Drosophila melanogaster: one gene and its partner. The protein of the gene in region 2 interacts with the protein of the main gene of each other region in a pairwise test. Each region holds a gene or a part of one and is shown on either strand. Other genes may lie near its edges.

Region 1 (3,925 bases), on a different chromosome or scaffold from region 2:
TCACACTTGCAAACTCGGCCAAAGTGGTGCCAAATCAAAGATAATCTTAACATCAACGACTTAGTCATTATAAAGGATGATAATCTACCACCAGCTAAATGGACTATAGGCCGAGTCGTCGAACTGCACCCTGGATCGGACTCGCTAGTCAGAGTGGTTACATTAAAGACGAAATCTGGCATTCAAAAGAGGTCAATCACAAAGCTTTGTCCACTTCCGATTTCAACATAATTATGATCAACACACGGATCAAGAATCACAAGGAGCCTTCATGCTGGACGACGCATTGGCGGGCGGCATGTACGGATTATGAGCGGAGTCACCCGGTGCTTCAGCTGTCTTAACAGCGGATTAACATTTTATATATCGATGCTAATTGAACTGAACTGTATTCTTTCTTTCGCTCTTGTAATTTTGCGGTCATAGCGATCAGACGTGATTTTTGTATATGAAAAAATAAATGAAGTTAAATAGTGTATATATGATTCTTATTTGCGAACCCCATTACAATGATGTCAAAGCAGTGAGGCATCACAACTATTCACGAGGTACTCAGAATTCAATCGTTTTCTCTTAAGCGACTGTTTTTAAATGTGTGAAACGAAAAGAAATATTCTGAATATTTTATAACAATTAATAATGTGTACTTCCAGCAAGTGCTCTCAAACGAAATTTTTGAAAATAACTTTATTTTGAATTGAATGATCATAAGTAGGATGTATTTTTGATAGGCAACATCTAGGGTTAGCTTTCTCATTAAGTAATACCAGTTTAGGCACACGCCTGAACAGCGGACTCGGCCTCCTTGGGCTCCGGCGAGCCCAACTTTATGCGCTTGCACTGCCTCTCCTCCGGCTCCTCATCGCTAAAGCCTTCCGGTGGAGCGACGTTCAAAGAGTCTGAGTCAGGGAGCTCCTTATCGTCGCTCGATACTGTCAGCGCTCTAATGGGTAGCTCCTGCTCATAGAGATCCAACAGCTTATTGCCTTCGTACAGGACAAACGGCAAGGTGGCTCGCTGATAGTAGTCCGGCATCAGCTCCAAGTTGTTGATCACCGTGTCCAGCATGTGGGACTTCTCGCACCATATGCCCGGTGCATCGTTCCGTACTGGATTGATGTGCACGTGGAGGTGATAGAAGGACGGCTGGTAATGAAAGTACATGCGCAGCTGATTGGGATTAATGCCGTATAGCTTGGCAATTGCGTCCTTCGACGCTTGGCGCACGTTGCGCAAAAGATCGAGATGACTTTCATTCAAGTCGCGCAGAGACTTGATGTCGCGCTTGTGGACAATTCCCAGCAGATAGAGGGTTTCCACATTGCGTCCGTCCCATTTGAGATCGGGCAGAAGGATAAAGCCAGTCTTTGGATCCCTGTCCTCGTACACGATACGTTCCGTCTCCTGCTTATGCTCGAGTATGTTGTAGACCCACTCGAGGGAGAATTGACTTGAGGTGAGATATGGAAGAGTTATTCTTTGGTAGAGATCAGGAGTCTCCCGGATGAGATACTTTTGAGATACTGAGTATTTCTCGATGTGCTTCTCGGTGGCGGGATAAATGACTGTGCTTTTCACACCTGCGAAATGAATGATAAAAATCTATGATTTATCAGTATGAATTATGAATCTAATATTTACTGCACAAATCCTGGGTCGGCACAACCTGAAAACTGCCGTAGATATTGTTGATAAACTCAGTGTCAACTTTCAGGTCCGCGGTAAAATAGCTAGGCTTCTTGGGAGACTCTTCTGATGACGCCGTGGCCACATCGCTTTCCCGGTACGCTGCGGTTAGTAAGGATTATACTGTAGCGAACATTAGTTGCTTTCATTTACGCTTTTATACCATTTTTCTCGAAAACAACAATGGCATCATCGGTTCCTAAATCCGGAAAAGTGCCAAGCAGGGATATACTTTTCCTAACGCTGTTGTTGGTTAGGATTCGCTTCAGTTGGAACTTGGATAAGTCGTACGACGGCGACTTTACCTCTGTGCTATCAACTGTTTCCGACATTTTTGTTAATAATAACAACAATAATAATAGCTAGAAAGATATATTTATTTTTATTTTCTTGCGGCTTTTCAGAGAGGCAGCGTGACCATGACTGGGCTGCACGAAAATTCCATACTCATTTCGTAAGTCCATTTAGCGAGCACTCAAACCCTGTTAAATAACATTGCTGAAACGGTTTAGCAACCGGTTGAGTTGAAAAAATGTTAAAATTAGATACACTAGATGCAGCAAATTAATACAGTCAAAACATCGTTGTTGAATTCTCATTTATTGTGTATAGGCCATTGAAGTACTGTTAATGATCTTTAGAATATGTATCTTTACAAACGGCTACAACACTAAGTGCTCGCCAATCATGTTCAGAACATTCGCAATTATTTTGAGCTTAACACTAACATACAATTTGCACTTACACCTGCAGCCGATGTAAACAAAAGTATGGATATTAAAATTGGTTTTACCCGCCGCCTGCCACGCTAACTACACAACTACTCCCTTCGAGGGCTTGGCGCCTAGTATGTCCGACAGCTTCTGCTGATAGGAAGCGAGGAGATTGGCGTCGGTTATGCCGAAGGACTTGCAGGACAACTGCAAGGCATTGAGCAGCTGCATTTCCGAGAACTGAGTGCCCCGCTCCAGCAACGCATTGAGTATTTCCTGTGGGTAAGTGCAAAGTGTTTCTAAGTAAAAAGGTGAATTACAAAACTTGGGCCAATCACTCTTACGTCTGGCTCCATGCAAAGCAGCTCATAGAAGTGTCTCGCCTGATCCAAAGCCACTTCCCTGGAGGCAGTTATGTTACTCAATGTTTGCTGCAGGGCAATCGCGTTCCTGCACATGCGCTGCACGGTTATTTGATCTATGTGCTCCAGATAATTGGAGGCCTGGATAAGAATGCGCGATGCCAAGTGCGCCAGACCCTCGAAAATGTACTAGAGAAGAATACGTTCGAGCAAAATGCAACTGGAGACGAATATTCAACTTACCCTGGTCTTCCTCGGATGTAGAGTGGCACTAAACGCCTCATCCATCTCAGACAGTCGTTTGGTCAGAACTTGCACCTGGCGGTCGGGCTCCAAGATATCATCCTTGGAGCCCACATAGCTGTTGGTCCTTACACTCGACTTCGAGCGCAGATAGTGGAAGCATTGAACGCGCACCTCCAGATGCAATACCAGCAGGCAGGTGTTCGCCAGCTCATCAAACTCCAAAGCCAGATTAGTCATCACTTTGATCGTCCCATCCTTCACAGCAATGTCGGCGCCGCACTCAGCTGGAACGGCGTTAAGTCCGTTTACCAACGGCCGGCGTAAGTCGTTGGCAAATTCCGACACTCGGCACGAAAACCACTCCATGCTCTCCTGCAGTATGGCCAGCTCCTTAAGCACACTGATCTCGACCAAAATCTCTTGTTGGGTGATCCCACCCTCGCCTAAATTACTGGTCAGCATTTCAGCCTCGCGGATGTTGCGCTGCTGAACCTGCAACGGGCTCTCCTCCTCCGACGGCTCAAAGCTTCCGCGATGCAGTTTTCGGTTGTGGCGCGACTTCTGACTGTAGGTCTTTAAATCAGTCCAGTTGGGAAGCGTTCTAAATAGTGAAGAAACTATAAATTCATGTAGCTTTTATACCTTTATACTTACTTTAAAAACCTGCTGATATCTTCATCTTTAAGCCATGCCACGCTGTAAATTCTCTTATCCTCTGAATCTGGCTGCACGATTCCGCGATAGGCCGCCTGACATATTTCCCGATAGGCCTTCAACAACGCGCACACCATTTTAAGCAGGTCTTCGGAGTAGCAGGGCAAGTCTTGAATGAGGTTCTTAGTTTCCATCAACCTCCGTTCGACCATCACAGTAGACTGCAGCAACGGCCTGCTTAGATTAAGAGCCTTTATTTCCTCA
Region 2 (3,925 bases):
GAAGAGCTTCATGTCCGCCTTCTTGCTCGCCGCCTGTGTGTAGTCGGAGATGGCCCGCGTCACCGGATCCCGCACCACAATCAGTAATCTACGGGCGTATAAAATTGAGGTTAAGTGAAGATATGCTAGTGATTGATGGTCCAGATACGTAGGGTTAATGTAAAACGCATAATGCATTTAGAATATAATGTTAATCCCTTCTATGTTGATCAAATCGAATGTTGTATTCCGAAAACCATTTCACTTAAGGTGCTTAAAAGTATGATAAAACCTAAAACAAGTTCTAAAGTCTTGTGTATAAAGCACATATTTAAAAGGACTCAATATTTAAGGGATATCCGCCTTAAAAATCTCAGCTAAGCGTTTGAAACACTTTTATTATATAGTATGCTACGATTTACGTACGGTTTCAATATTTAAGGGATATCAAATCGGCCTTAAAAAGTATCTCTCTTCAATTTTCAACACTTCTATTATAGGTGCTAAAAAGTATGCTATGACTAAATACAGTCTTGTGGATAAAGTGCAGTATTCTAAAAATATCATTTTTAAGAATTGACCGTTTTTAAGTTCTATCAAATCTGATGGAGTAACAATTTACGATTATGATCACAATAGGTTTGATGTAGAAAAGCTCACTTTGTTGCCGGATTCATGTGGTAGACGCGCTGCGGCACCTCCTTGGTGACGAAGTAGCTGGGCGTCTTCTCCATGGTGATCTGGCCCTCGATAGTGTACGGCATGTGGTGGCGGTACCAGCGTAGTCCCCGCTGGTAGTGCCTGTCGAAGAAGTGCACCTCCGAACCGGCGGCCCGCACGTCCGGATGCAGGCGGATGAACTCGAGCAGCGCCCGCGTCCCGCTCTTCTTCACGCCAATGATGAGCGTGTCGGGCAGGTGGCGCGATGGTCGGAGCCCCTGCTGACGGAGCAGCTGATACTTGGGCGCCCCATCCAGGCTGCTAGTAACCGTCTGTGCCGGCGGAGCACCGGTGGTGGATGAGCTGTTCCTGCTGCTGCTGCTGTTGCTGCTGCTGCTGTTGGCGGCGTTATTGGTCTCGTTGCGGGGCGAGGAGGTCAGCGCCAGTAGATTGCGTAAGTTGCTCTGCGCGGGAGAGGTCAGAGGTCAATGCCACACATCGTGCGAAACATATCAACATATTGGCTTATGAAAATGCCCAACTTGTAAGTATGCCGAAAAGTATGCAACTATAAATGTACATATATATAATCGTATATATGTATGTAGATAGCATCGCAAAGTTCAGCGAAAGACAAAACTTAAACTTTTCACAGCACACTTTTGGACAGCTTGTTAAATGTTTTGAAACCGCTGGGGATTATTACAACCCCCCCCCCCCCCCTAATTTTGAGTTGGCTCCACTTTACACATGTGTGTAGCGAAACTTTATATTCGATTTTCCAATTATCAGTTTGTTTTCATGAATAAATGCATTGGATATTGGATACATTTAGCCCCTACACTTAGACATTGTCCAGTGATTCGTGGACATATTCACCTGCTGCAGACTGCGACTGATGCTGGCCAGGAGGCAGGCATTGAAGCTGTAGGAGAAGTAGACCAGAGTCACGCAGATCACCAGGGCGATGGCCAGGCTGCGGCTGCTCAGGCTGAGGCTGCTGCACCAGATGCTCATCACAATCATGGCTGGCTGGGCGCTAGTGGCTGCCGTGTCTCGCATCTGGCGGTATAATCGGTTCCGAGCGCTCCGTCAAATTCCATTGCCACTCAGTCGCCCCGGAGCACTGCCTGCAGCATCCGGATTCCGATTGTGATTTGCAATCGCAGCAGCGGCTGGCGGCTACCGCCAACGCGAAGTCAACTGAAGGAATGGGGCTGTTCGCAACGCTGGAGCTGCTGGTAGTTGCTGGTGGTTGCTGCTGCTGTTAGGTGGCTGGTGGGTGGTTGGTGTGGTTGGGGTGGTGCTGGCGCTACGAGTTCGGCCTGCAAGTGCCGGAGCTGTCGTCGCAGCCGAGTTGCGGAAGTGAAAGCCAGGGATAAGGCAGGGCCAAGACATTGGGGTGCCCTGCCAGCGGATAAGCGCTGCCTGGGCCGCCGGTTCGGCTCCGTTTGTGCAGGATGACAGGATGGGTGGGGGAAGCGGCCGTGTCATGGTTGCGCCTGGGAAGCGCACAGGCGCATTGGACACATCCTCTCTCGTCTCGGGACGCTTATGCAACTGAGCGTTTTGCTTGCTCTCTCGCCAGCTCGTCGAATCGCCGTTGGTGTGACGTCGCAAATGTACACTGCCCGAAAGAAGTGCCAAGTCTTGAATGTAGCAGATAATTAATGTAGTGACAGCTTGCTATCACATCATGTCTTTAAGAAAGAAAGCAGACATATATAGTTAAATCAAAAGATACTAAAATCTGAAGAATTTCCGCTTTGTGAGGGTTTGACGAAATCTTTGCTTTCTACACAAATCAAATCTTAATAAATAAGTATTTCACTTAAGTTAGTAATTAATTTCCAAGTCTGATAAAGTTATATTTATATTAAGCAATAATAATAGACATTATTGATTTGTTAATTTCTAACTTCACAACGAATACATGATAAAATGTACTCCAAAAACGCAATCGTTAAGTAGTATTTCTAATATTTTTTATTATTTCTAAAAATGTATATATGTATATAGTTTGTTATGTAGGCTGGGAATGCCATCTTAATATTTATTCGACCATAATCTTTTCGTATACGGCCTTTTATTTTCTTACTTCCTGTCGCAACTCTCTCTCTCTCTCTTTTTTGCTCTCGGCTTCAATCAATTTTCCGCTCAAAGGTAAACAAACTAACCAAGAACTTACCCCCACCCACTTTGGCAACCAACCACCCACCCACAACCCAACCACCCCATTTGCGTCTGATAAAGTACTTGCTGGCATTTAATATTGGATTGAAATCAATTTACCAAGCATTATCGCCGGACGTTCTATTGCCCGTACTCCTATCACCATTAGCCATTTGAGATTAGTTTTAAGCCCTATCGTTGGAATGGCCCAATGGCCTTTGCCACATTGTTTTCTTATGCATATGAAAGGCCAAAAAATTGTACGTTTCCGTGGCAGCGTGGTAAATAGTAGGGGCCCTCAGTTGGGCCAACTGCCAAGGAGCTTATCAACCGGCGGACATCTGTTTATCTGTCCAAGTGGCTTATTCCACTGCGGCATTAGTCACTCACTTTGGGATACACTGGCGAAAAAAGCGCCAGGAAATTCGATCATATAAATTGGGGTAAAAATATTTACATAAAATGGGAAATATAGTACTTCGAGTAATGCCATAGATAGATACTTGCTCAAAAAAAGATACATTCAGGTACAAAAAAAAACATTGATCTATAACCAACGAATTTCTCCACAAGATGCGCAACATAATCGGATTTCCTTTTGACTATCATAATTCATGAACCCGAGCGGAGAAATGGCTAGATAATCCCAAACCCTCAACTTTTCCGCCCGTGTATCCATGGCCACCACACACATGCACCTGGTCGGGTCGGGTTGGCTTATCTTATCGCCTTATCTGCGCCGCCTTCGTCGCAGTCGAATTCTCCGCCGGACTTCCACCGGCCCATTTGCCATTTGTCCGGCGTCGCATCGTAGGCATCTCCATTCCAGCTGCTCGCTAAAATGCTCTAAGCTCCTTCGATAGACGAACCTTCCTCTCCCTGCTGCTGGACTAACTAACGCAAATCTATCGCAAAAATGTCGAATGTGTGGGGCAAACTGGTGCTGAAGTTCTTTAAATATGCGCCCAGCTATGTGGGTGAGTTAGCCACGCCAATGGAGATCCTTGTCCAGAGATTACGTCTCATTCACTTCCAGTCTGCCTGTGCTTCCTGCCCTGCGGCATGATCTTTGGCTATACGATCTGCGCCTTTGTTGCGGAGCGGAACCTCAACG

What was found.
Region 1: the proteins of Hs3st-B (region 2) and Dcps interact in a two-hybrid assay, tested with the Drosophila melanogaster proteins (one large-scale study listed by BioGRID).

The regions. Positions count from the first base shown.
Region 1 is NT_033777.3:5,752,660-5,756,584, forward strand, and holds Dcps (decapping enzyme, scavenger), read right to left. Parts: upstream 2,116-3,925; 5' UTR 2,019-2,115; coding exon 1,850-2,018; intron 1,789-1,849; coding exon 1,642-1,788; intron 1,581-1,641; coding exon 772-1,580; 3' UTR 659-771; downstream 1-658. Other genes in the region: Sec8 (secretory 8), read right to left, coding at 2,499-2,675, 2,744-2,950, 3,005-3,608, 3,662-3,925.
Region 2 is NC_004354.4:19,246,917-19,250,841, reverse strand, and holds the start of Hs3st-B (heparan sulfate 3-O sulfotransferase-B), read right to left. Parts: upstream 2,204-3,925; 5' UTR 1,702-2,203; coding exon 1,519-1,701; intron 1,104-1,518; coding exon 640-1,103; intron 89-639; coding exon 1-88. Other genes in the region: CG7992 (uncharacterized protein), read left to right, coding at 3,728-3,788, 3,848-3,925.